3 linked regions of the Arabidopsis thaliana genome follow. The protein of the gene in region 2 purifies or fractionates together with the protein of the main gene of each other region. This does not show direct contact. Each region holds a gene or a part of one and is shown on either strand. Other genes may lie near its edges.

The links.
Region 1: the proteins of PDH-E1 ALPHA (region 2) and AT2G34590 fractionate together in Arabidopsis thaliana (co-fractionation; one large-scale study listed by BioGRID). This does not show direct contact.
Region 3: the proteins of PDH-E1 ALPHA (region 2) and PDH-E1 BETA fractionate together in Arabidopsis thaliana (co-fractionation; one large-scale study listed by BioGRID). This does not show direct contact.

Annotation. Positions count from the first base shown.
Region 1 is NC_003071.7:14,562,104-14,572,950, forward strand, and holds AT2G34590 (Transketolase family protein), read right to left. Parts: upstream 9,041-10,847; 5' UTR 8,742-9,040; coding exon 8,639-8,741; intron 8,546-8,638; coding exon 8,445-8,545; intron 8,367-8,444; coding exon 8,323-8,366; intron 7,900-8,322; coding exon 7,264-7,899; intron 7,190-7,263; coding exon 6,853-7,189; 3' UTR 6,699-6,852; downstream 1-6,698. Other genes in the region: CCP1 (P-loop containing nucleoside triphosphate hydrolases superfamily protein), read left to right, coding at 1-62, 147-369, 459-592; MEE21 (PIN domain-like family protein), read right to left, coding at 945-1,031, 1,118-1,204, 1,363-1,641, 1,746-1,866, 2,218-2,298, 2,388-2,578; AT2G34580 (cytomegalovirus UL139 protein), read right to left, coding at 4,570-4,629, 4,724-4,886, 4,978-5,165, 5,460-5,537; AT2G34585 (uncharacterized protein), read right to left, coding at 6,124-6,369. UniProt on the Arabidopsis thaliana protein: The pyruvate dehydrogenase complex catalyzes the overall conversion of pyruvate to acetyl-CoA and CO(2).
Region 2 is NC_003070.9:43,738-54,011, forward strand, and holds PDH-E1 ALPHA (pyruvate dehydrogenase E1 alpha), read right to left. Parts: upstream 5,568-10,274; 5' UTR 5,430-5,567; coding exon 5,199-5,429; intron 5,116-5,198; coding exon 4,338-5,115; intron 4,246-4,337; coding exon 3,968-4,245; 3' UTR 3,497-3,967; downstream 1-3,496. Other genes in the region: AT1G01080 (RNA-binding (RRM/RBD/RNP motifs) family protein), read right to left, coding at 1,766-1,822, 1,909-2,217, 2,307-2,408, 2,636-3,052; AT1G01100 (60S acidic ribosomal protein family), read right to left, coding at 6,547-6,600, 6,682-6,894, 7,146-7,217; IQD18 (IQ-domain 18), read left to right, coding at 8,502-8,609, 8,697-8,993, 9,201-9,446, 9,747-9,887, 9,966-10,274. UniProt on the Arabidopsis thaliana protein: The pyruvate dehydrogenase complex catalyzes the overall conversion of pyruvate to acetyl-CoA and CO(2).
Region 3 is NC_003070.9:10,577,407-10,588,452, forward strand, and holds PDH-E1 BETA (pyruvate dehydrogenase E1 beta), read right to left. Parts: upstream 9,275-11,046; 5' UTR 9,072-9,274; coding exon 8,963-9,071; intron 8,842-8,962; coding exon 8,735-8,841; intron 8,656-8,734; coding exon 8,624-8,655; intron 7,917-8,623; coding exon 6,944-7,916; 3' UTR 6,699-6,943; downstream 1-6,698. Other genes in the region: NUDX25 (nudix hydrolase homolog 25), read left to right, coding at 5,294-5,359, 5,464-5,514, 5,840-5,932, 6,020-6,114, 6,193-6,415; AT1G30130 (DUF1365 family protein), read left to right, coding at 10,260-10,558, 10,874-10,985. UniProt on the Arabidopsis thaliana protein: The pyruvate dehydrogenase complex catalyzes the overall conversion of pyruvate to acetyl-CoA and CO(2).

The sequences.
Region 1 (10,847 bases), on a different chromosome or scaffold from region 2:
TAGCAGCAACAAATCTCCCCTGGGAACTAGATGCAGCTATGCTCCGGCGTCTAGAGAAACGAGTATCCTTTTACTTACTCTCATAGAACAAAAATGCTTGTATCATGATTTTCTTTTGTTTAGGCCTCAACTAGTGAAACCATTAGATTCTTGTACCTTTACCGGATCCAGAAGCAAGAAGAGGAATGTTCGAGATGCTTATACCGTCACAACCAGGTGATGAGCCATTGCCTCATGATGTGTTGGTTGAGAAATCTGAGGGCTACTCTGGTTCAGACATTCGAATACTTTGTAAGGAAGCTGCGATGCAACCACTGAGACGCACATTGGCTATTTTGGAAGACAGAGAAGATGTTGTGCCTGAAGACGGTAATATCTCTTTTAAAAAGAATCCGTCATTGGCATAGTTTACCTTTTAAAACTGCAGAATCTTTGACATTATTAGTTTTGTCTTGCAGAGCTGCCAAAAATTGGTCCCATCCTGCCAGAAGACATTGATCGAGCTCTGAGCAACACTCGACCATCGGCTCATCTGCACGCCCATCTTTACGACAAGTTCAATGATGATTATGGTAGCCAAATTCTCAAGTAAATTCGATGTAATATATACATCTATGCCATCTAGAACTTGCTCATTATTTGTATGGAAGCATCCAAATTACGGATGCTCAATGAACTTTTCTGTCTTAAATTATGAATAAATGCTCCTAGTTCCTTGGGACTCAGTTTCAGCGTATGATATCTTTGGGGAATGTTTTTTTCAAGTTGGCTTCTTGGTCTCTGTTAAATTTGGGAGTCTCTGTTACACGGGTCGTCTTTGCTTGAAATAAAATGAGAGTATAACAGCAATGAGACTCAAGCTCTAGTCTGATTGGTGACCAAAATTTTTGTATGCAGTAGAAAAAGTAAGGACTCAAGATGTGTTATATATAAAACAACTGTTTTCACTCGGTTCTCTCCGGACCAGACTTTCCTTTTTTTGACCGTTTTCTTGACCTCTTTTGTGTATCGCTCCCGCCTTCTTTCTTTTCCTGGAAACCCAAAACAAATATCGAATTTGTGTCAACACTGGAACATTTTACTTGTAAACATAATGGAGCCATGTCTCTAATGTTACCTTTTGTGCATTAGAGTTAGAATCGGCTTTGGATTTGGATTGAGGATTCTCCTTCTTTTTCTTCATGCATGAAAGTGGGTTTGGACCCTGCAGAGTTTTGAGACAACAATGTTAGTTTCTCCTCCATTGCTACTTCATCTAAGACTAAAAACCAATGGATTCTAACAATGATACTACGATTAATTTCCCTACCTAGAAGCTACTAATTAAATACGACTAACGTTGTAAAGAGAGCTGTTCATTACCTTGGCTCTATTTCGCTTGAACTGAGGTCTATCCTTCACACCAAGTCCATTTTTTGTAGAAACTACTCGAGGCATTCCCCATTCTTCATTTGCAATTGTTGCTTCTTTTCTATTAGAAGCTATGATTTTCGCAGTCCGTTTCACCAACAACTTTTTTTCCGTATCGGTCATAGTTAAGCGCTTATTTTCAGAGTCTTTGGCACTCTGACGTTGGAAATCAGAAGGTTGATCAATCAGCAGTATGTTCCTTAGACCAAACACAAGAGGAACTATAGACTCCTGAAAGAGGAAACAACACACATAGATTCTTTGTATTAAAAACTCTAAAACCCACACAGTAAATCCATACTCTGATACAAAAGAACTCTGCTCATCAAACTAACCTGCTGAAGCTTTCTCCTAAACTCCGCGTCCTGAGTACCAAGGAAGAAATGCTCAGTATTTTGTACCCCTATTACCTCTGACAAACACTCGTCTGCTGTTTTTGCCTCCTCGTGCTCACATCTAAAAACTCAAATCGAAGCAAATCAATCACACAAACATCAAACAAAATTCATGTCTGGCACATAACAAAAACCTCACTTTCTACACATTAACCTCATTATATCAGTTACACAAATCAATTTCATCATATACACTATATAAAATCCAGCTTGGAACTTAAAAACCCTCACTTTCTACACATTAAGCTCATCATATCAGTTACACAAACCTCATTTTCTGTACATTAAGCTCATCGTAGATGTAATACAATTACAAACTCAACTCCAAACCTTATGAATCAAATTCGAAATTTCCACAATCTACTAATCAATCACACATTCAAGTAAGATAATAAGAAAAAGGGAAGCTTACGTTGCTGTATTAAGCGTCTGGGCAGCTTCGAGAGATTCCGCAAAATCTTTACCCAGTTTCTCCAACTCCGCAATCACACATCTACATAACAGCTCCAACGAAAGCATAATAAGAAATTTGGTAAATTGATATGAGCTCGTGAATGTGAAGATGCAATAAGAGATATAAACCTGGTGGTGAAGAGCTTGACGGGACCTCCGAGGAGTTCAGAGACAGCAGTGTCGGCGGGAGTGATCTCATTAGTGACAAGATGGTGGACGAAAGTGCCGTCGCAAAGGACTTTGTAGGGTTGACGGAATCCGTAACAGACCGTGAAGAATCTCACGGTTCTCCTGTTTTTCTTCTGCCTCTTCACTCTCATCTTCTTCTCCTTCTAGTCTCTACTCTGCGATTTTTCTCAGAGCGCGAAGACGACGCTGGAATTAGGGTTTTAGTTTTTTTTCTTGTTCGGTGGAGATAAACCGCCGATTAACTTATTAATTTGGAAATTTCGGTTTTTATTGGTTTGCTTGGTTCGTTTTGGTGATATTACCATCGTCATCAAAAAACAAATAATTGGCAAACTTACTAACCTATGTTTTCGATTTTTGTCCTAAATTTTGAATTGTTTGTAAGGTAACAATTTCAACTGAATTATATTAATATTTTGCAAAAATGTTGGAGGCTAATAGGATTCTGCTCTCGACCTCCAACTTGAACAGTTAGCGAGAGAATCAAACAACTTGTTTTTTTTTTTTTTATCAAACAACTTGTTAGTTGTCATGAGTCCAGTACTCTTCATCTTGCATTGTAGTCTGTTTATCATTTGAAATTCCTTTAGGAAAAACCACAAAGGCTGTTCACCAAACACAAACTAGAAAAAAAGTATGTTTATCTTTGCAGACCTTGAACACTTTTTCTTTCTCTTTATGATCACCCACAGTGCTCCAATGACAAGTTAACATTGACTAGACTAATGTGAGAAGAGTGTAAGCTGGAGACAAAATGGAAAACATGTTTTCAAAGTACAGTTTGCCAATGAGTTATTTCTTTTATTTGGTATGTAGATCCAGAATCTAACAAGTAATCAGTTATTTGTTCCTATCAAACCCTGCAATTGCGCTAGATCTAAAGAAGAAGCTAACAAATTTGTTGTCATGTCATCATGACATGTCTTGAACTCTAGGCAGGCTTGGTACATCTGTCTTGAATTCTTTTCATGAGCTCATGTCTCTTCTTACATGTTTTTATTTGTTGATTTTGCTATCTCTACTATGTATTTGCATAGTATTGTATTGCTTTCGTTTTGGTTCTATATATATAGAAGTAACATGTAACAATAACATTGCAAATTTTTAATGTTTAACAAAATCATTGAAAGATCAAGAATAGAGGTACAATATCATTAAATAAGTGAAAACTTAATTATTAAGCAGCGGTATAAAGATAAAAATTTTGCCGAGTCTCATTATCGATCTGCTATGCCTTTAGGTTACTAATCTAAAATCATTGAAAGAAAAAGAAACAAACCAAAACAAATAACTAAAAGTTGATCACGCAGACGCAGAAGACGTAGAGGTAGACGTAGACGCAGTAGCAGTAGCAGGCGAATCTTCCTCTCCGCCACAACATTTGAGTAATCGTTTGGCGCAATAGAAACACGCCACAAAAGCCGAGATGAGGATGAGACCAACAAACACGATGGTTAAAATGTAACCAATATTCATCATATTGCTCTTCGAATTCACTACACCAAAAAATTTCTTCTTTTTAACTTTGTTTCGTGACTTCTTCTTCTCCGGTATAGATTATGCTTATATACACGTCCTGTCAAACACACAAATGACAAGTTTAACATTTGTGAAAAATACATATTTACCTTTTTCACTAAGGAACATTGGAAGTTTAACATTTTACGGTACTTTCTTGATCATCATGCCATCAAATATGTACATGTGTATTTAGTGAATCAAATCTATTAAACTATTTTTAACATTTTATTCCAAAACCGTAATATATAGGGCATCTTGCTTACATATGTGTTTCCTTTTTTAACAATTTTTTTTTTGTGAGATCCTTTTTTATTACAAATATTTATTGTCACAACTCACAATGATTATTACATTGTTTCTTTCTGTAATTTATCTATTATTTTAGTTAATTTCTTTTTCATAATATATCTAAAGGCTGCAATTGGCTAGTGATGTAAAATGTCTTGAATACTGTATCCATTTTAATCTCTTTTTTTATAAAGATAATATCATTTAGTAATCTCATAAAAGCCTTCCCTATGTAATTCCCACAGGCCACAACCGTGCTCAATATACTTTTACATCTCTCTTCAAATGATGATTAGGAATTCAGAATCATACCTTAATTTATGTTCTGTAGATAAATGTTCTTCTGATGACTTTCCTCGAACGTTGAGTTAAGCTGAGAAACACAAAGATTGATAATACATAACTAAAGCATACAATGCTACAAATCACTACTTAATCCAAAACCACACACTTGACTGTGATTTTACCTCCTTGATTCGGTTTCGCAGGTTCTCGATTTGTAACCGGTTCTCTGATCTAAACCTCTCAACATTTTGCATAAACTCATTCATCTCTGAACATTTCACCTTGTAATACTTCTCCCTCTCTTCATCTAACTCTTTCAGCTCCTCAACCTCAATCTTCAGTGTCCTATTCTCCAATACCATTCAACAGAAACCAATCAAAAACATTATTATGACATCACAACCATCATCAAACCAAGAGTCAAGAATGATTTAACCTCAATTGTTGTATATAGCTGTGGTATTTGGAGTCGAGATCATCGATGTTAGATCTGAGAATTGTGATCTTCAGGTTTTGTGCTGCTATTTTCTGTTCTAGCATCAAACATCTGCGTTCAATGGATTGTATAGTTGCGTGCTTCGATGCTAAAATCTGTGCTTTGTTCACTTGTAGTTCTTTCTCCGCCTACTCAAACATTATAATCAAACAGAACCAGAAAACGATCAACAATTTGGATTCAGAAATTTCAAATTGAAAAATACTGTTATAGTGATGATCGATAAATTGATGCAGAATATGATAATGATCTGTTTTTAGATAATTCTCTTGATTTCGAATTGAATTAGAGCAATAGTTCATCAAACCAGAGATCTCGATTAGCACATGGATATAGCGATTCTCACATTTACATACTAGCGACATTGAAACTCGATGATGCAGTGGAACGAAGAGAAGCTAGGATTCTAAATTGATCGATACCTGGAGAAGATTGAGTCGTTGGTTTCTGGTGAACTCCATTTGATCGAGCCTCTCCTTGAAAGCTGAAGAAAGCGCCATAGCTAGAGAGAGAGAATTTGAATTTTCAACTCTGGGAGATTGGAATAACTGAATAAGCAGAGTCAACTCAACTATTATAGGCACCGTTATTTAAGGCCCATAACATTTAGAGTCAAATACTACTAAGCCCATTAAGTCGATTTTACAGTTTCCAAGTTCTTCGTCACTGAACTGATTTGTAGTTTTTGAGTTCTTTGTCGATTAAACAAAAACTCAGCGTCCAAAGTTACTTGGCTACTACTACAACAAATAACCATCTGAAACTTAAAACTTCAAATACCTAAATTTGATACGGAGTAGATTATGTATGTTTGAGTCATAGATAAGCAAAATTTGAAGGCATGGTTGATGTGTAAACAAGAAGGAAGCTATTTCGTGCTGATCAAAGAAGAGATACACAATTCGTCCCCAAAAACAAGAACCTTACTCATATGGCTAAATCTCGTCTTGTTTCTTAATTATAACTTTGCAATAAGAACAAAAACACAAGCTTTCAATAAAACGACCACAAATCAACCACAAATCAACTGAAATTGGCAAACTTTTACAAAAGGATAGCAAATCAACAAACAAAACTCAAGATCGATCAGACGGACTTGATCGCGGTGGTGGGATCAGGATCGGAATTATCGGGAGGATGATTAGGGATGAGAGGAGCACGAACATCGGAAGATGAGTCGACGTCTTGGTCATCAGGATCGTAATCGGGATTGAGAGATCTGTCGATGGCTTCACGGCCCGACTCCAGGCAAGGCTTACAAGCTAACTCTATCGTTATCCATCCCAAGATTATTCCGGCTATTGCTATCACCGCGCTTGTTATCGCCGCCATTGAGATCTCTCTTTCTCTCTTTCTCAGATGCCTCCGACTCTGTATTCACGCATTTGCTTGACTCTTCACCACAATTATGGAGGAGATTGAGAAAATGTCAATTATGCCCCACTGTTCTTTTGAGTATATTCTTTTTTCGTCGGCACGAATTATGACAATTTTGTTACCTAATGATTAGTATTTTTATTGATTTATGTTCTTCTGATGTAAAATGAGTAAGTGGTGAAACCGCTATTACGATTTGTTATTATCAACTAATAATGTTCCAGAAGGTTTTTGGTTTTGTACAATGTTGTAATACGATCATTTTCTGAAGAAAAAAAGTAGTGTATGTGAATATGGAAGTTATTATCTATAGAAAATATAAATGTTCATATCATAAGAGTAAAATTCAGAGTTTTCATTTCACAAGCATTTTCCATCGAAGACAAACAGTAACAAAAAGTAAAAAAGGGTAAAACACAATCACCGTAAAAAAAGCAATTACTGGCAAAGTTGTTCGACGGCAGTGACGATCTGAGCTGGCTGAACAACCGTCCATTCTTCCAATGTACCGGCGTAAGGAGTTGGGACATCCTGAGAAGACAAACACATCACCGGAGCATCTAAGTAATCATGAAAGTTCTCGTTTATTGCAGCCGTCAAACTGGCTCCGATTCCTCCCGTTCTCATACATTCCTCCACAATCAAAACCCGGTGTGTCTTCTTCACCGAGTTTCCAATTGTGTAGAGATCAAACGGCTTCAACGACCTTATGTCGATAACCTCTGGATCATACCCTTTGTTCACCAGCGTCTTTGCAGCCTGCATTACATGGTACCTGATACAAGTACTCTATTAGTTCTGTGTTGTTTCAATTTCAATGAAGAAGAGCTTTTGGTTGTGATTTAGTACCTCATCCTTGAATACGTCAGTATCGTGATGTGTTCACCGGGTCTGACCATTTCTGCTTCTTCCAGATTACATATGTATTCTTCATCCGGAATACTCTCCTTGAGGTTATAGAGCAGAACGTGTTCAAACAGAATCACAGGATTCTCACTTCTTATCGCCGCTTTCATCAATCCTTTAGCGTTGTAAGGTGTTGAGCAAGCCACCATCTGGATCCCAGGGATTGACTGGAAGTAAGACTCGAGACGCTGGGAATGCTCGGCTCCGAGCTGCCGGCCCACACCTCCAGGCCCACGGATAACAACCGGGATAGTGAATTGACCACCGGATGTATAGTGAAGCATACCACAGTTGTTGGAGATTTGGTTGAAGGCTAAGAGTAGAAACCCCATGTTCATACCTTCGATGACGGGTCTTAGTCCTGTCATGGCGGCTCCAATGCCCATACCGGTGAAGGCGTTTTCACAGATTGGAGTGTCCAGAACCCTGAGATCGCCAAACTTATCAGCTAGGCCTTTAGTTACTTTGTATGAGCCTCCGTAATGGCCTACATCTTCACCCATGACACATACATGTGGATCTCTGTCCATCTCTTCTTCTAGACCTTCTTGAAGAGCCTCGAAAAGTAATAGCTCATGTCTGCACAAGTTAAATTTAGTTATGCTTATGCTGTGGCAAAAGGCATAAACCTTACATGGAAGTAGGTTTTATATCTCACAGAACATACAGAGATAAGAGCAAGAAATGTGCTACTTGGAACAATGGATGCATAAGTGAAAATGCATACGCTTGAATTTGTAGGCTTTGAGGATGTAGATACAAATTATACGTAACCTCACATGAACTACTACTAATAAAACACAAGATTCAATCAAGCAGAAGCAGTATCATAGATCTAATGCACTATAGATGAGCAATGCCAATCACAATTAACTACCAAACTAGAGAGAACTTTTTCTTCCAATTAACAGCCATGATAATGATCAAGAGTTCAAAATTAGTAAAATCGATGCATGAAACCATTAGCATAAGAAGTTAAGTAACAAAGGATGCAGAACATACCCAGGCTTTGATGAAGTAGAGCTCGCAGCAGTGTCCGCCTTCGTCTACAGAAATCGAAAGCCCCATCAAAGATCCATTGTAAATTCTTAATACGATATCAAAAACTAAGATTAAACAAATACCGTAACAGCATTTGGTATCAACGGCTCAGAGCGACGAGCTACGAGGCTAGAACCAAAGCTTTTACTATCAGATCCGGCAACAATGTATCTCTTGCTCCTCACTACATCAAAAACCCCATAAAAACTCCTAAGATCTTACCAAATCAAGCAATTTAATCGCCGAAACAGATCATTCCACAAATTTGAAATCGAACCTGAAAGAGAAGAGCGAGAAGGAGCAACGAGTTTGTTGGAATCGATAGAATTAAACGGCGAGAGAGCCGTTGCAGCTCCAGCTCCTTGGAGTATCGCAGACATTTTTCCGAGAAAACCAAAGAGAGAATCAAAAATCCTGACAAGAGTGTATTATTATTATGTATGCATATAAACAAAAATGTCTGCGATAGAACAGAGAAGAAGAGTGGAGAAGAGCGGAGAAATCGAAGGAAAAGCGTGATTTCGTATAACTTAAGGATTTTGATAAATCCGGTTTGTTCCGGTACGGTGAACCTAATCTGCGTATTTTTGGATTTGGTAGCTCACCTGAACCAACTAAATTGCAGTTAACTTTATCGTCTGTTTAAGATTACTAGACATGATCAAGAGCCCAAAACTGCTCGGCCCAATTAGTAATACTGTAAAGGCTTTATTATGCTCATTATTCTTTCTTTTCTTTTTCTTTTTTGCTCATAATTCTATTACCAAATTATATATTCCAAAAAATGTTTTTTCCAATACAAAATTTTGTTTGTTACCTTTATTTTTTAATGAAAGGGTTTCATTAGGTACCTTTGGTGAAAAACAAATTAAATTCAAAGACGTTCGGTTTTTAAGATAGCACCAATTGCATGTGCTCATTAGTCATTTCAATTCCATACTTTTGAGATCATATAAAGAAATGATTCTCTTTTGAAAACCAAACATTGAATATTGGCATTTCCCACGTGGATTTAACCTTCTATGTCGGTATGTCATATGTGGGCAAACCCAAATCTGAAGTGGCCGAATCATGTTAACTATATAAACTACTCATCAAGTGAAACACGTGGTTGATAAAACAAAAATCAACTAAATCACGCGACGACCATTATTTTATCAAATGTATATTGTGACCAAACAAAGTGACGTTGTTTTTCATGATATCCCCCACTTTACATTTTTTTTTACAAATTACAATAAAATACTCCAAGTAAAAAATAAGAAATGAAACATCCGTTTTTGGGGTGAATACAAGTTTAACAGAGCTATAACTCAGAAAGATTTTTATCATAAGAGCTGCTTATAAACTATAAGTGTTGTTTTTTTAGAATTAAGTATGGTTTTGAAATTTGAATGTAACTTTTAATCATAAAATTTATACTCTACCCATCTATGTATACATTTTTACAGTCATTTTAACAAATAAATCCTAGAGTTGGACTTATTTACAATTCAATGTCATTAGCATTAAATCTTTGTTCCAAAATAATTAATTTTACTTTAAATTTTTAATTTAAATTGTCAATCACATTATCAATCAAATTTAATTCAAACAAACTTCACATCAATCCCTTAAAATTAGCACAAACGTATTTTATTAACAATATTTTAAAACAAAATTTTTTGTTTAAATAAATATTGTTCTTACTAAACGTTTTTTGTTTAAATAAACAAATCATGTATTTCAACTTATTTACAATGTCATGCTACTGACATTAATTATTTAGGAATGAAAATATTTATTTAAAAATTTAAATCTTCTAAATTTTTGCTTTTAGAGTTAATATATCATTATCTAAAAGGTAAAAAATATTATTTTTTAAATAATATTATTCGTATATTTAAACTTCATAAAACATTATTAATATTTGAATTTATAAAAAGTTTAATCTATCAAAAATAATTAATATCATTATTTAATATATAGAGTTTAAAAAAATCTCAAAAACAAATTCGTCATATTTTGTGATTCGAAATTTTAAGAATGAACATATATTAACCAATTGGCGAAAAATGTGTGGGTTCAACGTCCCGCAACGACTAAAATATTTTAACAATGATTCATAAACATATTATAAATAAGATCAACATTAATAAAATAAATAGTTTTTTTTTGTGGACGGGTTTGGCAGGACGTTACTTAGTAACAATGATAAACTATAAAATAATTTATAAATTTTTATATATATTAATTTTAAAAAATGAATTGTCTCCGCGGTACACCGCGGATTAAAATCTAGTAGTTAACATTTTTTTAGTTCGCTTGAAACGTATTAAGATGGCAATAATACCAAAATAAATGGAATCCAATTTTTGAAAATTTCACAAACAGGTTTATCGTTTATGATAAATCTATGTTATCTGATGAGGCACGAGTCCAGTATTTTATCTAATAACCCCAAAAGAATTATAGGATGAATTCTTTAAAAATGTTATTTTATTTTT
Region 2 (10,274 bases):
GTGTTTCCTGCAAAACTCCGCGCAACATCGAAACTTTCTCTTCTTATTTTCAACATAGATGTAGGGAAAGAGATAATTACTGTTTAGTTTATTCTAATTTACTAGAGGAAAAAGGATTTAGGGAGAAAAGGTAAATTAAATATTCATATTCTTCTTAGATAGATCAACCACTGACAATAATAACAAAGAAGCCACTAATAAATATGCACGATGACTATTTTCTAAATCAAACGTCATATTTGATTCAGATTCGAGAAATGACTGGGAAAAAGAAAACACTTTTGAACAAGATAGACTAATCATAATCAGGTGAGATTTGTGACTTTCACAAAATAATTCTCCATCTTAATTGTTCGCATCTTCATTGGATCCCTTTTACACTTTTTTTTTTTTTCTTTCATTGGATCCATCTAGTTTGCACTACTTATATATGTGGTATATATAAACTTTAATTTTGAAAGTGTAATAAATTTAGAGTGATATCATTTAGCCCCCCGATGGAGGATTGAATTGTCTCGAACTAATGCGTAATGCAACACTATGGTTTTGAATAGTGAAATAGGAAGATGCGAATAAAAAATAGAAACGTATAAACGAAAACAATAGTGTATGTAATTAGGTGAAACCGTGAAAGTGGCGAACGAATCATTAGCATATAAGAAGAAGATTGTGTCCACCCTGAGTTAGATACGAATACTTTATGTGTGAAATCTAATTGTTCACGATTTGACTCTTCAGAGTTTAAAGGCTGGCTAACAAGTTTAAGCTGCGTTTTAGGGTTTGGGCCAATAAATTCAGCAATGAACCGGTTTTAATGGCATTAATAGCCCATAGTGAATGTTGCAATCAAGAAATAGTTATAAAACCATGTACATGGGTGATATTTTTAGATTATCACAAGTACAAAAATTATTTTTATATTAGTAAAGCAATTAGAATATGCTTATCAGTATCAGCCCACTGATATTTGTGATACCAGTATCATCTGACGTGGCTTCTTCTGATTGGTTACATTTGACAAAAGCAAAAAATATTATATATATTTATTAAACAAACATTATAAATAATACTAAAAAATATTCTTGATGATATTTTGTGAGTATCACCTATGAACATGCTCTAAAGATCAATATCTTAAAACAAATTTAGTGATATAATTAATTGAAAAAGTTTGTATTTTCTGGACTGAATCACACTAGGGTTTGTGTGATTTCTGGTGTAAGAAGGTAAAAGGAGGTAGTTATCAGATGGGCCCACTTGAAATCATTTCACTGGGCCTAAACAAATATAAAGCCCATTTATCATTTATGGCCTTTTTCAGTCTCCTCCCGAGATTTAAAACCCTAGTTGGTTGATCTTCTCCAACGGGGAATGGAATCGGAGAGTGACGAAAGTCGTGTGTGGATCCTAAATCCTTATTCGGGTCTCCGAATCGGATCCTCGGAGTTAAGCCTTACAAAATGAAGATGCTAATGGTTCTGTTTTCTTTATTTGGAACCTGAGTATTGCATGCACACCAAGTGTTTGGCAAAATGTTAGAGTGAGACGACAGTTGGGGAGGTTTGACGATTATCTTTCATTTGTAGAGTAGATGAATCGAAGAAGAAGATCGAAAAGAGAATTATACAGGTAGATATAATGGGTGATAAACAAAATCGAGAAGGATATAATATGTAAAGGTTACTTGTCGAAGAAATCAGAAGACATTCATTACACATTGTTTGTGTCCAAGAGATGTCTTTGCAGCAAAAGCAGAACAGTTGGTTTACGACTCACTCTTCTCGATACCTTCTCTGACGATGATTCTGCGACCTTCATATTGCTGCAAAAGAGAGATTGTGATAAAGCCAGAGAGCAGTAGAAGAAGTTTCCTCAAGCAAGATTCTTTTTATGGATAACGAACTTAACTGTTCCATTGAATGATAAAGCCGCATCACGTTCTTCACCGCTTGTAAAAGAAAGAAAGGCAAAGACTCTGTTTCTCCCGGTCTTACGATCATGTAACACTCTCGTGCTTACGATTGTGCCAAACTTGCTAAAGTGGTTTCTCAAACCATCAGGCTGTGTGAACCAAGGGAGATTTCCGACATAGACCTTGTGTTGGCTTTCGTACATCAGAATCTTCTTTGGAGTTGAGTTCAAGACTTCAGGGTTTCTTCTTGTTCCTGGATTCATGTCAACAGAGTACCTAACCCGCATTTCCCGACCACCTACTTCCTTCATATATAGCAACAAAACCAAAGCACTCAACTTTACACTCAACCAGAAGAAAGATAGACTTGTTTTTTGGTTTCCCGGGCTCTTACTGTTCCATCAAGAGAAGCAATGGCGATTTTGGCAGAGTTTATAGAACCCATTGTCACGTACCCGCTTCCACGGCTCTCTCCCGTCTGAGGATTTCGCGATACCTGCAACATCATTTCCAAGCAATGCACACCTCTCACTATACTTGTCAATCATCCATATACTCAAAAGAGTAACCAGTACGTTTGATTCGTCTTGATGGAACTCAAAGCTAAGTATTTTCAAATTACATTGTGGATGATCTTTGAATTTTCAAAGCTAAGTTGAAAGAGTAAAACTTTGAATTTTCATAAAGGCATTGTAGGATCAATCAAATCTGGATAAGAAGTACCACCTCTACAGAGATTACAGTTCCAAAAGGCTGAAACATGTCAAGAAGCTGAGCAATGTCGTAGCTTCTAGGGATATTACACACGTAGAGCTCGCAAGGTCTCGGTTTCTTTACTGGTTCTGCTTTGGAGACGACACTATCTTTATTGGGTTCTGCTTCTCCTTTAACTACTTCTTCTTCTTTTTCTTCATCGAGAACTGATAATTCTGAAGAAGAGACCTTGATTTGAAGTGGTTGAGCTACAAAGGGACGAGAAAGAGAAGAGTGATGAAAAGAATTGGAAGAAGAGAATTGAAGTTTCAGAGATTCTAAGTAAGAGTAAGAAGAAGAAGAGATTAGGGTTTTGTATTTGGGAATTGCATTGTGAGACGATCGAGAAGAAGAAGATAAGGGAATTGCGAAGCAGGAGGCCGCCATTATCGAAGGACCAGAAAGTAAATTATTTGAGAAGAATGATTAAAAAAAAAAGAAATGAAATAGAAATTAATAGAACAAATCGGGTCGGGTCATTTAACCCGTTACAATCCTGCTCGGTATTCGCTACGTCAGATGAGACACTCTCTTTCGCGTAGCAGGTTTTGTTTTTCATGAAATAAACAAAAGGCCCAAAGTTATAAATCAAAAAATAAAAAATTATTCAAACATTTTCATTTCTTCAAGTCTCTTATTCCCTTTACCAAACACTTTAATTACAAAGAAAGTAGGAGCCATGAAATTAGAACCAGTGCAATCTTGTCTAATGGCCCATTCATCCTCAATCTTCATTCTGACCACTACATCTACAACTCCTTGGCTCTGAGGGAAGGTGGTAGTGATAGAATCTGCTATGTTTGAACTCCCTCAGAGGTTTGAAGCTATATTTTGACCCAAATGATCGTTATGCAAACCACAACACTGTCTTCTTTGATCTTACTATGAAGAAGTCTGCAAATCTTGAGGTTTAAAGCTATATTATAAGCAAGCTATGCAGAGATGAAGCAAAGAGGAAAAGAGTTTTCTGTGCTGTGGAAGCTGTATTGGCATGTATTGTTCTTATACGAGATTGTGTGTAATTGGTGGTACTGGCTCCTGTTGCAGAGCCCATCTTGTTTAGAGTGTAATCACCCGAGGTTGCAAAATAATTATCTTTAAAAAAAAAAATACAATTCTCTGGTAAGTGGTAACCAATGAAAACCCAACGAACTACAAGAAGAACCTTGTGATAGTTTAGTAACACCAAACAAAAAGCAAAAAGTGCAAATGATTCAAACTGATTCTCTGTAGCATTTAACTTAATAAGATATATAGAAACATCGAAGAGACAGTAGACAGCTTATGGTTAAACTTGTCTTCTCAGACTTGAGCTGTGCCTTCGGTAAACTTGGGGTCCTCACATCTGTACCGTCCATCAGGTCCAATTCCAAATCCTTTTGGATCAGCAAACACATTCTCTAGCAACTGACTGCGACCGGGCTGTGGACTAGCGTCTGCAAACTCAACCGCTTCCTCCACCAACTCGTCTATCTTTTTCTCTATTGACTTTAGCTCTGCTTCCTTTGCAAGCTTGTTCTCTATCAAATACTTCTTCAATGCTGCGATTGGGTCTCTAGCCGCGTATTTGGCTTTCTCAGCTGCAAAAAAAAATTCAAATTAAAGAGAAGGTTGTTTCAACCCTTAGATAATCAGTACAAGCATCAAGAAGCAGAAGGAAGTCGATATTTACCAGCATCACGGAGCTCATCGGGATCAGCCAAGGAGTGTCCTCTGAATCTATAAGTCTCACATTCAACCAAGGTTGGACCTTCTCCTCTTCTAGCTCTAGTGACAGCTTCTTTAGCGACTTCCCTGACCTTCAAGACATCCATACCGTCAACATGAACACCAGGCATCCCAAATGCAGGACCTTTCTTCCAAATCTCGGGGTCAGAAGTGGCTCTCAAGTGAGACATCCCAATGGCCCACAAGTTATTCTCGACAACAAAGATAATAGGCAGTTTATAGAGAGCAGCCATGTTGAGACACTCGAAGAACTGTCCGTTGTTACAAGTTCCATCTCCGAAAAAGGCGACAGTGACATCATCACAATCCTGTTTCAAGACTTCCCTCCTGTACTTGGAGCTAAAGGCAGCACCAGTGGCGACAGGAATGCCTTCACCAATAAAAGCAAAGCCACCAAGCATGTTGTGTTCTTTGGAGAACATGTGCATGGATCCACCTTGGCCTCTGCAGCATCCAGTAACCTTGCCGAAGAGCTCGCTCATAACAGCACGAGCAGAGACACCTTTGCTGAGGGCATGGACATGGTCACGGTAGGTACTAACGACAGAGTCAGACTTGGTAAGGAGCTTGATAAAGCCAGTAGAAACAGCCTCTTGGCCATTGTACAAGTGAACAAAACCAAACATCTTGCCTCGGTAATACATTTGAGCACACATGTCTTCGAAAGATCTACCTAGTATCATATCTTCATACAACTCCAATCCTTCCTCTTTGGTTATCAACTATTTCAAATTACTTAAATCAATACAACAAATCTCACAACTTGTAAAATTCCAAAAGAAGGAGACGAGGAGAGGAAGCGTACCAGGCTGGTATTATTGGTGGATTGCTTCTCCTTGACAACTTCCTGGACAGAGACGACGGGAGATCGACGGGTGGCGTTGGAGTGATTGAGTCTGCGAAGGGAGAGGGAACGGGTGGATCCGAGGAAAGAAGAAGGAGGAGCCAATCGGATCGGGAGCAAGAGACGATTCTCATGGGATCCATGCAGAGGAACCGTGGCAGTGAGCTTAGTGGGAGCGAAAGCCGTCGCCATTGCTATCAATGGAAACCCCAATGAGATTAACGGAATTCGGAAAAAAAAAAAAAAAACTTTCTGGGAAAATAAAAGAGAGCAGAGATGGGCGGAGAGAACAAGAGATGAGAGGCAGAGGAGGCAGACGATCCCGGCTCTAAATACTTATATATATTTTTATTTGTTTGTTCGAAAAATATTTAATCAATTTTGGACCCACCCTTCTTCGTTAACACCAATGTTTTTTTCTTTCTTTTCATTTCATCTCTTAATTTCAAGATCCGATCTACAAATATAATCCTTGTTAAGTATGCTCAACATAATTTATTTTCTTCTTTAACTCGAATTGGTTAATCAATAGTGGAATCATCAAATTAACAAAATGATCTGAACAAATTCAGGTGAATAACCATAAAATTCTAACCATTTAGAAATATGGCTTTTCAATTGAGTTTTAAGAATAGATCCGTTTTCTTTAAGATTTGTATATAATCCCATAAATCTTTTGTTATCAGGTAGAGCTATAGATGCAACTACTTTTGACTCTAAAAGAAAGAAAATTGAATTTAAAACCTAATTCCTACCGTTACTACTAAATTATTATGAAACATATTTAATCCTCTAAACAACATTTTTTGGTTTTCCTATTTCTCTTACGAAAAATCCCATTACTTTTTTATCGTATTTATCCTTATCTCAATTTCATCAAATGGAATGTATGACAATAGACGTACAAATGTTATGAAGACGCTGCTGGGTAAGAAGAAGAACAAACACTAACATGTTCCGATAATAAAGGCATTGGGCCGGCCTAACATTACTGCAAAAGCCAATTTTATTAAAGACCTATATTTGATGACAATTCTAAATATTGTATGACCGGATTTAACATTTATGGTTTGACGTTTTCGAAATTAAAGACCTATATTTGATGAACGAAGACTTGGTAGAAAATAAACAAAATCAATTCTAACAAAAGCCCGAGCCGATTGGTTTGCTAGGAAACTTGAGTTATACAACATACGCATCATAAACCAACTAATAGTCCTTTAGCCAGATCAAACAAGTAATAATAACTCATACGACAAAATATAGTCTCCAATATCCAACTACAAAGAAGAAAGACAAGTGACTGCGTTTAGTCAAACAAACCGAAACCCAAATCTCCGTCACTCTCTTCTGCTGGCTCATCCTGCAATACCAAAATGAGATCAATTTTATATCACTTATTAGTTAGAAGAATGATTTCGTCTATCGTTGCTATTTCATTTACCTTCTTCTTCTCCTCAGCAGCAGGAGCAGCTGCCGCACCACCGCCAGCAGCTGGAGCAGCAGCTGCAACCGGAGCACCACCTCCACCACCAGCACCAACGTTCATGATGAGATCAGTCACGTTACGTTTCTCAGCCATCTTGGCGAATAGCATTGGCCAGTATGACTCAATACTAACACCAGCAGCTTTCACCAAGGTCGCGATTTTGTCAGCCTATCAACGACATAAACAAACACAAGTAAAGATCTTTACCCAATTCAAAACACATTTAGACAGATACATAAAATACTTGTTCAATTCCTGACCAAATAATACTATACCAAATCCTTATCACTCCATAAGAATCATTTTCACTAAGTTTCTAACTATCAAGTCAAAAGAAACGGTTCCAAAACCCTACTGACTAAAGCAAAGAGACCAATCAAGATTTAGAAATAGACAAGCAGGAGTCAAAGGAAAGATACCGTGATAGCGATACCCTCGTCCTCGAGGATCATAACAGCGTAGCTGCAAGCAAGCTCTCCAACTGTCGACATTTTTTTATCCTGAAACGATTCAAAAACAGTAACAATAGATTAATTGCTTATTCACAAAAAAACAAACTTTAAATCCGTTTTAAACCAAAATTAGAGTAAGTCGAACAACCCAGACGATGATGAAATGCCAATAACAAGTATAAACGGATCAAATGGAGAATCATAGACTACCTAAGAGTAAGATCGAAAATGCTTTTCGCAAGGCGGCGAGAGAGACAAAATTTCTAGGGTTTGGATGCGGAGACGGGAGATGCAGAGTTTATAAAGCTTTTATCCAATTATTTGATGGGCCGCATAAATATTCGCTAGGCCCATTTTTTAATTTTACATATATTTGTTTTCAGTATTGGGCCTTCAAACCTAATAGCCGTGAATAAATAAAAGATAAGAGCCCAAATTAAGAGATTTGACTTTGACCAGAAATTGTTGGTTGGTTTCTAGGGAACGACCACCGTGGTCCATCATGCATGTGACAGCACGAGCTTGGTCAAGCAATACTTGATGGATGTCCTTTTCGCACTAGTAACATAATTCTTCATTTGACATATTTATAGTCTTCAATAAACATATCATATGCGATCCAATATATTTTCATTTTTTCTTGTACATTCGTCTTGGTCCAAAAATCACGAGTTTGATTAGTTCTTTAACCCCAAACTTCACAAAATCATGTAGTTGTAGACACCAAGTTTGATTATATTTGTCAATTAATAAAAAAAATGATTTATACAATTTGTTTAGAATCTCGATAAATACTTGTTCATCCTACTACCATTCCAACCAACTTTATATAATAGTAGTAAAAATTACGCATGCGCTAAGCCAAATATTGGCATTTAGTAGAATAACAGAAAAAAAATAAATAAAAATGTAGATTATGGAGCTAAAACAACGTGCAATCTCTCTCCTTATCTAGTCTACGTATATTGTCCCGCACGGTATATAATCAATATGGACCCAAAAACGAATATATTCATGTTAATATCGATGCCAACAAAATAAATTAATAATACTATGTATTTGGTGAAAAGATAAAATTTATTAAAGAGAAAGAAACACAGTTATTGGTGTCGTGGTTGCAGTAAAAGAGGTGGTCAGACTCAGAGCAACTTCTTACAAAGCAACCAAAGGTTATCTGTACTTTCTGTTTCTCTCTCACTCCTTATTTCTGAAAAAAAAATCTACAGCTAAATACCTAAATCTCAACTTCACGGAACACCGATACATAAAGACAATAGAGTGGTAATAATTTGTTGAGACCAAAAGTAATTAAACACATTACACATGGGGAAAAAGAACGGCTCTTCTTCTTGGCTCACCGCTGTAAAGCGAGCTTTCCGATCTCCGACGAAGAAAGATCATAGTAATGACGTCGAAGAAGATGAAGAAAAGGTTTCTTATTCTTAGATCTTATTATTTGCTTACTATATTCAAAGTATGATTATTGGTTTTCATTTTTCTCTGTTTTTTTAAAAAAAGAAGAGAGAGAAGAGACGGTGGTTTAGAAAACCGGCGACTCAAGAATCTCCGGTGAAGTCTTCCGGTATCTCTCCACCAGCACCTCAGGAAGATTCACTTAACGTAAACTCAAAACCCTCTCCGGAGACAGCACCGAGTTACGCAACTACGACGCCGCCATCCAACGCCGGTAAACCCCCGTCCGCCGTAGTCCCCATCGCCACGTCAGCATCTAAGACACTCGCACCGAGGCGGATTTATTACGCAAGAGAAAATTACGCTGCTGTTGTCATCCAGACTTCTTTCAGAGGATATTTGGTGAGCAATTATTAATGACCTATATTTTTACTTTCATTTTTTTAACCAACTTGACTTCTAGACCACTTTTTAGTGACAATGATGTGTGTCTATGTCTATAAAATTAACATTGCTTATACAAGATCTACCATTTAAAAGATTGGGATTTCATTTAGATAATTTTTTTTTGGGTCTTGATATAAGTTTTGTTCTTTCTAATTTGGTAAGGCAAGAAGAGCATTAAGAGCATTAAAAGGGTTAGTGAAGCTACAAGCATTGGTGAGGGGACATAATGTGAGAAAGCAAGCTAAAATGACATTAAGGTGTATGCAAGCTCTGGTTCGAGTCCAGTCTCGTGTGCTTGACCAACGCAAACGCTTGTCTCATGACGGTAGTCGCAAATCCGCGTTCAGTGACTCTCACGCTGTTTTTGAATCTCGCTATCTTCAAGATTTGTCAGATCGACAATCCATGGTTAGTATAGCCTCCTAGGCCTTGCCTAAACTATAGCATAATCAATTGATATGTTTTTTAGTTATAGACATGTTTTGCTTTTTAGTTTATTCATAAGGTTAAGCTGTTTTTAGCATGCCTATCTAGTTCAAATGGTGCATTCACATAGGTGTGCCTTGATTATTTCTTTACTCTTAGGTATACATATTTTGTATATTTTTCAATCTTTAAGCAATTCTGTTTTTGTTAATTGTAAATTGCGTTTGTAATTTCATATGGTGGCTAACGTCTTTTGGAATTATGGTTATTTATTTGTTGTAGTCAAGAGAAGGAAGCAGCGCCGCGGAAGATTGGGATGACCGACCACACACGATAGACGCAGTGAAAGTGATGCTACAACGGAGACGGGACACAGCATTGAGACATGACAAGACTAATTTGTCACAAGCTTTCTCTCAAAAGGTAAAATTAATTAAACCGGCATATAGTCTGTTATATATATTGAGCTTGTTGATAACATCGTTTCGTTTCAATGGAAAGATGTGGAGGACGGTTGGTAACCAATCCACGGAAGGACACCACGAGGTAGAACTTGAAGAGGAAAGGCCAAAATGGCTTGACCGGTGGATGGCTACTAGACCGTGGGATAAACGAGCTAGTAGTAGAGCTTCGGTTGACCAAAGGGTTTCAGTTAAAACCGTTGAAATCGACACTTCTCAGCCTTACTCAAGAACAGGAGCAGGAAGCCCGAGTCGTGGCCAAAGACCTAGTTCCCCATCAAGAACTAGCCACCATTACCAATCCCGCAATAATTTCTCAGCCACTCCATCTCCGGCTAAGTCTAGACCA
Region 3 (11,046 bases), about 11 Mb from region 2:
ATCTAGACTTCCAATATCCTGGGAACTTGAGTTTCTCCTGGATCAACACGACAACAATTTTAAAATATTTCAGAAAAAAATAACGAATAAAACAAAAGCTAATAATGCAGTTTATTATTGATTCAAACATCCAATGTAACTAACATTGTATTTTGAAATAACCATCATATGTTCGTCATATGATTAAATATTTTATCAAACAACAGATTAGCATAATTCTAGTATAGTCTCTTTTATATACTATACTATAAATTAGGAATTTTAGAAATATTGGGCACCATTAGTTCACGTGTTTGAGTTTACGTTCTTAGATTCGAACTCCAAAATATAAACTCGTTGAAAGAAAGATTTAAGTATTATTCCATTACATTAGTTATCAATTTATACACTATAAAACGATTTCGCAAAAATGGTTGTGCTCTAAATGTATATATTAGATCAAAGTTAAAAAGTATTTCTTTTCAATTTACTTATGGTTTTTTTTTTTTTACGAGTGGAAATTTCGATTAGTTTTGAAATTCTGCGCATGATAAATGATTACCCCAACAAAAGTTTAGGTCGACAAACATCTAGACATACGTTGTTGACATAGAATACTCACTTGTTTGTAAAACGATATGTCAGAAATATGACAACAAATAATACAAATTAAGATACGAAAGATTTTGCGGTTTGGCCCTTGCGTAAAGGTCGGGCTATGAAGCTCTCACTGTCTTCTATGAACGAAGAAGAGACACACATTTATGTATTTTTAATTGCAAGCTAGGGTTTCATATAAGCACCAGTACTACGTGTACGTTTTGAGATCATACTAATATATAAACACCCTTACTATTATAGTATAATTTTATAAATCGAACAGAAAATTCAAAATAAATTAATGATTAAAAATTGAGTTTTAAAAAATAGAAGATTTAGTTATATATGTGGCGCATGGGATGCGTTCTCGTGGCAGGAAATTAAATGTGAGGTCTCAGACTCAGAGCATATTCTCTATTAACCATCTCCCCCCTGGTCTCACGTCTGTTCCCCATTTCCTTCAAACTTATTCTTCACTTTTCTCTATATACAAAAAAAGTTTTATAGTCTTACCATTTTGCTATGATTATTGTTCTAATAAGGTTTTCCATAGATAATACCAAAACATTATTAGAAATTTTACTACATTTCTTATTAATACACTACATAATTTGATTTTTCTAATTATAAGTGAAATAACAGATATACGACTCAAATATTGCTCAAAAGCATTACTGAAATGTCAAAACAATATTTTTGTAATTTATGAGTAAAAATGCTAAATGGTATTTACTATAAAACAAAGGGATCCTATTAAATTTAGATGGTATATACGTTATTAAAGAAAAAAAAGGTATGTCGACATGAATGTAAACTCAAATTTGGTGATATGTTTGTGACTTTAGTCTAGCTTGAGTCAAAAGTTGGAATCATTTTTCGAGAGATATAATATAGCAGTTCAAACTTCAAATGTTACATAAGAGCGAACGAATAACGACCATGAATAAAAACAAAAGGGAACAACTCGTTTTGTTGGAGAATCAAACGAACGAAACAAAACTGCGGACGTACAAATGTTTTCTTTTCCAAAGCCAATGACAAAGCTCAAAGTTCTTTCCCCTGTTGATCAGAGATAAAATTCTTCAAATTTTGGCCTAGAAAACCATAAATAACCTTATTTTCACATATACCAAAAACATAAAAGCAACTTACTCTACACAAAGTAATCGTAATTGCCTAGTGAGATTACAAGGGTTATTTTTCTTTGTGACAGAGTGACAGTCTTTAAATATGAATAGAATAAAGGTTCGCTTCGGATACTAAAAAATTATGGATCAAAAAATCCTAAAATTTCCATGGTTTAAGAAAATGTATTATGCAGAGTATATCTAAAAAATTTTAAATTCAATTAAAAATCTGAAAATATATAAGAAAATACATATCACCACGCTCTAGAGAATGTCTAAAATGTGGGAAATTAGTTCTCGATGCAATTTTAATCTATATATACATTTTTGCAGCCATTTTAGCAAATAAATCCTGGTCTTGGACTTATTTACGATCTAATGCCATTAGCATTAAATTTTTTTTCCAAAATAATTAATTTTACTTTAAATTTTTTATTTAAATTGTCAATCACATTATCAATCAAATTTAATCCCAACAAACTTCAAATCAATCCCTTAAATTAGCATAAACATATTTGTTAACAATATTTTAAAATAAAGTTTTTTGCCTTATAAGCAAACATATTAATTTTTTAAATATTATTATTTATATATTTAAAATTTATAAAACATTACTAATATTTAAACTTATAAAATTTTTGATATATCACAATTTTTAACATCATTATATAATATATAGAGTTTAAAATTTTTTTAATTTTTTCCGTCATATTTTATGATTCAAAATTTTAAAAATGAACATATATTAACCAATTGGCAAAAAATGTGTGGGTTCAACGTCCCGCATCGACAAAAATATATAGACAATGATTTATAAGCATATCATAAATAAGATCAACATTAATATAAATAAATGGTTTTTTTACGGGACGGGTTTGGCGGGACGGGTTTGGCAGGACGTTACTTAATAACAATTGTAAACTATAAAATAAAAATATATTATAGATAGATACAATTTGCAAAAAAAAAATTATACTAACTTTAAAAAGATAAATTGTCCCCGCGGTGTACCGCGGGTTAAAATCTAGTTGAGGTACATAATGCGAACCAATCGCTAGTACCTAGATATACTACATATCATAATGACTAATACATTATTTTAGAAGCCTCTCGCATGATATTTTATAAAAGTTTATTTCCCACTTAATCATTTAATTTTTGAAAATAATTACCAATAGTTTTATTTTATTTCATTAGTTGGATTATTGTTGAATATTTCATATCAATAAAAGAACAAAAACTGAACGAGTTGGGTCACATATGATATGGCCTAGAGTACCAAATCATGCCAAAAAACGGGCAGGAGAACAAAAACATAAACTTTGAAAGACGTATTGGGGAGCACATGCCCTCAACGACAAATATATCATGTGTTTAATGGGCCTTTTAGGGCCCAAAACGTTTTAATGGCGATTAAAAATAACCTAGCAAGGCTAACATCCATTATTGGACAGTTATAAATTATTGGCCATAGCTCTGGGAATTAATCTGGATTAGTATCCCCACTCGGAGTACTTTTTATACCATAAATTTTAAAGTGATAACTATAGACTTATGGATTTGTCTGGTTTTTAGGCTGAGTAAATACTTATGTGTTCTTTGATTCAAAATCTAATATATTGATGTGGTGGAAGAAATCAAGTTTAAAGTATAAATTTTTCTCGTTAATGATGATCTTTTGGCGGAACTAGTTTTAAACTGCATGTTGCATTTCAATCCTCTTTTACCACAAGTGGTGGATTCTTGATCATTTTTGAAGTTCTCTCGCATCAATGATAGTTTACGCACTCATATGCACTTAAAATTGGATTCAACATGATTATCCACATATTTCTTTGTAGGAATAACCAACGGAAAAGCTTGAAACTCTAGAAGATGGTAAATTTTCATTGATGAATGTTTTCATTTATGTAGAAACTAACAAGTGTGGTGGTCTTCAAAGAGAAGTCGCTGATCGAAAATCAGTCGCTGGTCTCCAAACAATGATTCTAGTATTCTAGGAAGAATGAACTAGTTTTACTTTTTAAAGATAAATTAGGGTAGTGTTACCTAGAGGGAAAGTTGAAACATGATTGATCAATTTGGTTCCATTTGATCAATAAAAAAAAAAACAGAGAGAGATGGTGGCAGATTTATTCATGATCCGTGATTGAGTGCAAAGACAAATTTATAATAATACATTTTTTGTCGTAAATAATAATGACAAAAAAAAAGACAAACATAAAAATAAAATAATCATTAATTCACTATTAAGTCAACTCCCTGGCTTCCCCACCACCGCACGTTCGTCTCTCTGTCCACTCATTGACTCCATCCCCTACCTTTTCTCCTCTATCGTGCGCCTACATTCCTTGGTGCTAACTTAATTTCCACCTCATCTCATTAACGTGCGCCGTCATCCTTTTTTTTTTTATCATTACCTTATAATTTTCTAAATCTTGTTCTTTAGAGATTGCTTCTTTTTTGCCAACTTGCTTAATGTATTCTTTTGTTGTTGTCCTTATCACAAAGTGTCAATGACATCACACTTTTTCCTCCGTCAAATACAACTTTTCTTTTTAGCAAATACATGTTTTTCTAATTTGGAACTAATATTATTCCTCCTCAAAGTCAACTAATTTTACATTAGAAGTTAAAACAAATTTTGTCAACTAATTTGAAAATTACAACCAGGTCATATAAGTATAAAAAAACAAAAAAAAAACGTTGACAAAAAAAACTGTAATTAAGCGTCTATTAATTATCACACACCAAAAACCAAAAATACCTTTTAATTTATGTTTGTCTCGACATTATATTATACACGTGGCAACTGGATTTATGTTAAAATAAGTCGTCGGTGGGCCCGGCCCAATACAAACAGTTAGAATAAGATGCCAAATAGTCAGAGCTGATATTACGAAACGTCATCGTTCTAGACCGAATCCAATTCTGTATATATATTAATGTAAAAGATTTATACGTGTGCTTTGTGTTTGAAAGAAAACACACACACACACACATGTTCTTCGTTGCTGCTTCGTTGGGTTAAAAACTTTTCTTTTGTTTCTTGCTTTTTGCAAAGTCAAAGATAACAAATAAATAAGGTTTGTTCCTTCTTTCGATGCTTTCTCGTTTTTGTTTCTCAGATCTGTATGTTCTTGATTTGTTTCTATGTGTTTGTTATCTAATTCTGTGTTTTGACTTTTGATTACTGGGAATTGACCAACTCTGATTATGATTCTTGACTCTTTTATTTAGTTAAAATTATTCTTTTGATTTGAAAGTAGACTTAAGAGTGGAATTGCAAACATTTCTGGATGTTTCTGTCTTTGATTAGTGAATAGAAACTTGAACATGATAGTTTCTAGTTTGTTTTCCTCGATCCAAATTCAGACAATAGAGTAGTTAGGTTTTGCTTTTTAGGAGAATCTGTCAAAACTACATCATCTGCTTATAAATAAGCCAAAGAGTGAAGAAACAAAAACATTTTTGGTTTTGCAAAGTACTTAAAAACAGTAAACCAACAATAATGATACCAAAACAATTCTTGTAATTATCTTTTTCTTCTGTTAAATAATGGTTAAGTGGTGATTTGTTTCAGAAAAATGGAGAATCTACCACCTGGTTATCGTCCCAATGTTGGTGTTTGTCTAATCAACTCGGATAATCTGGTAACATTTTCATCATTTAGTTAAGCTCTTTGATTAATTACTGTTTTTAATTTGCCACTGGTAATAATAGTACTCAGTTTATTGACCATGATTATCATTCACAGGTATTTGTAGCTTCTAGATTGAATGTTCCAGGAGCATGGCAGATGCCACAGGTGTGTTTTATTCACTCACTATGACATAAAGTTTTGCGAGTTTTCGATATTTTTTTCTCTGTTTCTATGTCCTTTTATTGGCCAAAAAGCCAATGATTCAAAATATTCATGGTGTTGTAACTTTTGTTGTTTAGAGAAAACGTAGCAAATTACTAATGTTTAACACCACTCTAATGAAAACATGGTCAAGAATTTGATAGAGAATATTTTCTAGATTGGTGAAGTAATCAACATTTTCGAAGTAGTCAAAGAGTCTAGAGACTGTTTTCTCTGCTTTGCATTTATCTCTGAGTTTGAATAGCTCACTAAACTGAGGATATTACAGGGAGGCATTGAAGATGGGGAGGATCCAAAGTCAGCAGCCATGAGAGAGTTACAAGAAGAAACTGGTGTTGTTTCAGCTGAAATCGTCTCTGAGGTCGCTAACATTTAAGTTAACACTTGCGCGAACCGATATGAATCAGAGGATATATTTACTAATGTGGGTTCTTTAATGTCTAAACAGGTCCCAAATTGGTTGACATATGATTTTCCACCAGCAGTAAAAGCAAAAGTTAACCGTCTTTGGGGCGGTGAATGGCATGGTCAAGCTCAGAAATGGTAAGCCCTTCGATACTACTTAATTTCGTGAAAGCAAAGAATGTGGCTCATTGTTCTGAAACTTAATAATTCCTACAGGTATTTAGTGAGACTGAGGAACGATGAGGACGAGAAAGAGATCAATCTAGCGAACAACGAAGCGGATTCAGAGTTTGCGGAGTGGAAATGGGCGAAGCCAGAAGAAGTGGTAGAGCAAGCAGTGGATTACAAAAGGCCAACCTATGAAGAAGTCATCAAGACTTTTGGTTCGTTCTTAAACGACACAGGAAGAGCTGCTAAATGTAAATCAGCCAAGTGGTGATATAAGATACCAAGAACCAATGTTTGTCTTTTTATTTTTTTTGTTAACTGTTGTTTTTCTTTTTTTGGGCGGTTCTTTTTAGTAGAACCCTTTTGGAATGCAAAAGCTTTCTCTAGGGGTTTTTTACTTTCATTTTTGTAAATTGGTTATTGGTACGTAGAAAGTTTTTTTGTTTTATTTTAACATGGGGGTCATTGTAATAAAGTCGTTGTCTGGATTCAGAAGGAAATGAGTTGTGTATGTGTTTATAATAAGTGTAAAGAAAATTCTCAGGTTAAAATTTATTGTAACTAGCACCATGAACACATATAAAGTGTAAAGAAAATTCTAAGGGTCTAAATAAAAGAAAGTGGGAGATAAAATTAACAAACAAACATTCTGAGTTACAAACCATATTAAAAGACACAACAAAGGAGACAAACTTTAACAAAAACAAACCATCTTAGACAAATTCTTTAAGAACTAAGCTACAGAGAAAGGAAATGGAGAGGTAAATGATAAATAATGGTTCATCGGATAAATATGAATTTACTGGCAAAGCTGCTCGACAGCGGTCACGATCTGAGCCGGTTGAACCACGGTCCACTCCTCCAGTGTACCAGCGTAAGGTGTAGGAACGTCTTGAGAAGATAAACACATCACCGGAGCATCTAAGTAGTCATGAAAGTTCTCGTTGATGGCAGCTGTAAGACTTGCCCCAATCCCACCGGTTCTCATACACTCCTCCACGATCAAAACCCGATGTGTTTTCTTCACCGAGTTTCCAATTGTGTGAAGGTCGAACGGTTTCAGTGACCTGATGTCGATAACCTCGGGGTCATACCCTTTGTTCACCAGAGTTTTTGCTGCCTGCATCACATGGTACCTCATTCGCGAGTAAGTGAGGATGGTAATGTGCTCGCCAGGTCTGACCATCTCAGCTTCTTCAAGGTTACAGACGTAATCTTCATCCGGGATTTTCTCCTTGAGATTGTAAAGCAGCACGTGTTCGAACAGAATCACAGGGTTCTCGCTTCTTATTGCGGCTTTCATCAACCCTTTGGCGTTGTAAGGAGTTGAGCAAGCAACCATCTGGATCCCAGGGATGGACTGAAAGTAAGATTCTAACCTCTGTGAATGCTCAGCACCAAGCTGGCGTCCCACTCCACCAGGTCCACGGATGACAACCGGGATCGTAAACTGACCACCGGATGTGTAGTGAAGCATTCCACAGTTGTTGGAGATTTGGTTGAAGGCGAGGAGGAGGAAACCCATGTTCATACCTTCAATAACGGGTCTTAGACCAGTCATGGCAGCTCCAATGCCCATACCGGTGAATGCATTTTCACAAATAGGAGTGTCGAGAACCCTGAGGTCACCAAATTTATCAGCAAGGCCTTTGGTTACCTTGTAGGAACCTCCGTAATGGCCAACATCTTCACCCATAACACATACATGTGGATCTCTGTCCATCTCTTCTTCCAGACCTTCCTGAAGAGCCTCGAAAAGCAATAGTTCATGTCTGTAAATTCATACGAGAAGATTGGTCACACTTTGTATTTTTGACAAAAAAAAGGCATCATCATGACACTTATATTGAATATGAGCATGGAAGTTTAAAGGTAGATAAAGAAAATGTGCTATTTGTGACGACTAATACATGAAAGAAAATGCCATGGTGACATCATCATGGATTGCTTATGTGAAAATGAAGACAACACACAAACCCCTAACAGAAACATTCACTAAATGGAAAGTCGCATAATATGTAACAGAAGCCTAACCAATTGCCGTATGATGTCCAGAAATGTTCTTGAGAGTTAAACTATGTTCATGGGAATGAACTAAATGGTTTAACGGTTTAACCTAAACATTTGGCATCATAAGCACAACCAAAGGCATCACTAGAATGATTACTGGAAGCAGACATGCAACACATTAAGCTTTTGCCATCACTATCAACTATAGATTAGTGTTTTGACTACTCTAGAACTGGCTAGGATCCTACATCACCACACCCAATAGCACATAGTTAAAAACTTCCTCATCGTTATCCAACTTTGAATCCCCACTAAAATGTAATAAAACTACTGAAACAATCTAATCATTTAGAACAGAACATGAAAGATCCAATTAGAGATTTGTTCAAGCAGTGTCTAAATCCTTCAATGAGCACAAAAGAGTAAAATCAAAATCGAATTTGCAAAGCTAAAAAGGTGCAAAACAAACCCAGTGCTCGCAGACGTATCCGCCTCCTTCGTCTACAAAACAAAAACGTACATCATTAGAGATTAGAAGGAGAAACCATAAAAATCACAAAATCGGAGACAAAGACATTACCGCAACAGCATTTGGAATCAATTTCTGAGAGTGACGAACTCTAAGTCCAGAACCAAAGCTCTTCTTACTCGCATCAGATCCAGCCACTATATATCTCTGGCTCCTCACTGCATCAAAATCAAACAACGAAACTGCTTTAAGATCTCACAAATCCATCTCAATAGAAGCTCCAAAACACCAGAAATCGAAATCAGAGAATGCAGATCGATCATCAAATAAAATTCGAACCTGAAAGATTTGTGCGAGAAGGAGCAACGAAGAGTTTCTTGGAATCGACGGAATTAAACGTCGATAACGTCGTCGTAGCAGCTCCAGCTCCATGGATTATCGAAGACATTTTTTATATGCTCAAAGCTCGGGACAATTTCGAAGAATTTTGGACTGTTAATATAAATATATACAAGTGTATGCAAACAGAAAATGGCGATACGAAACAGTGACAAGCGGAGAAATCGAAGAATTAAATGAAATTGTCGAAATCGAATTAAATTATGTGTATTGTTGTTGTGCAATCAAATCCACATGTTTACATTGTTTTCATCGAACTCATGTGGCTTCTCTATTGTATAACAACCAATGTTAATTTAACACGTGTTACTTAACGACTGGATTGGCACGTGTACGTATATGATTTGTGGATTATCACTGGGTTTGCTTAACCACCTGGACCAACCTAATTACGTTAACTGTGAGATTTGAGGTTTCCACCGATCTAGGAGTTGATGGGCCTCAAGTGTCTTGGCCCAGTAATTAATAGATCAGTATTATCCAGTAAGCAAATTTTCGTCAAAAAAGAACTTTTTTTTTTCTCCACAAAGAACAAATTTTCATAAGCGAAATATAAACGTAACTAAAGCATTTACATTGAGTCTCTCTAGTCTCTACCAATATATTGTTTTGTATATTTTATACTCTGATTTGTAACACATATATGGTAAAATATTATTTTAATGCGATTATAAAAAATTTACCAATCAAATGTATGCAGTTATTTATTTTATTATCTGATTTTTTTTTAAAAAAATTATTATCTGATTTTCTAGTATGCAGTTTTCATTCTACGAGTTTTAGTTCTGTGAATTCTCATAATGCAAATTTTTATAAATTTGAGAGATGATTTAATTATTTATCCATATGCAAATACATATTATATACAGTGGTTTAGTAACGTCCACGCAACAGCCACGATTATACGATAAATACCCTATGATAATAACTGGTTGCAACATTAAATAAAACAATCCTTTTTGGCTTTTGGGTCCACACAACACAATAATATACTGTCACTGAAGATAACAATGGCCTCTATGAGACAAATTCTAAATTAATACTAACTTATAGCATTTTAAAACGGCATTATTAGATTCAAAAATAATAAAAGTAAATTACTCGTTAAATTAATACTTATCGTTAAACGTGGCATTAAATCATAAATATACCAAACCTCTGCATTTGAAGGGTCATCAATGTCAATCTCTGATTTTTGAAAAAGATCAGATAGAGATAGAGAGACAGAGGTAGAGATATGGAATTGCTCTTTCTCCTCTGTTCAATCATCTACACTTCAATCACTTCCATCTTCTTCTCTCTTCTCCTCCCGTTTCGCTTCCTTCTCCACCGTCTCCTTCCTTCACGCGCCGCCGTCGATCCTAATGTCTCTTTCTACGAAGGCACAGTCTGGCACGACCGTCTCCGTCCTGTCCGCCACTCTTTCCGTTATTCCGTTCGTTACGCACTCTTTGACCTCGACAAAGCTATTAACACACCGCCGGATCATTTCTCCGCCGACGAAGCTCGCCGTGTTTCTCGTACCACCGGGCCAATGTAAGTTTGTTGACTCGTCCAAGATCGGAAGAATCTGGATTTTGATACCTAGAACTGAAACTTTATAATGCGTAATGTTTTTGAGGAACAAACAAGATTTGAAAGATTCTGTTGATCAGGAGTTAGTTAGATTTGCAAAATTGAGTGTTTTTTTTAGTTTCTGTTTGGTTTTATGGTTATGTTTTGCTCTCTAACAGTGTAGTTTGGTTGTTTTTGTAATGAAATTGTTAGGTGAATGAATCTTTATCAGTTCAGAAATTGTAATTGTGATAGAGGAAGTAGTTTTGATGAATCTGTAATTTTTTCGTGGTGCAGATTTCTATTGACAATACCACCAAGCGTTGGATATGAACAAAACCCATTGAGTTTATACTATTGCTATGACTTGGAAGGGTCAAGTAAGCGCTTAAGTAAATGCATTGCTCAGGTATATGAATCAGAGGTTTTTGTTGTTCCTCTGTTTCTTGCTTATGTCTCTCATAGTAATG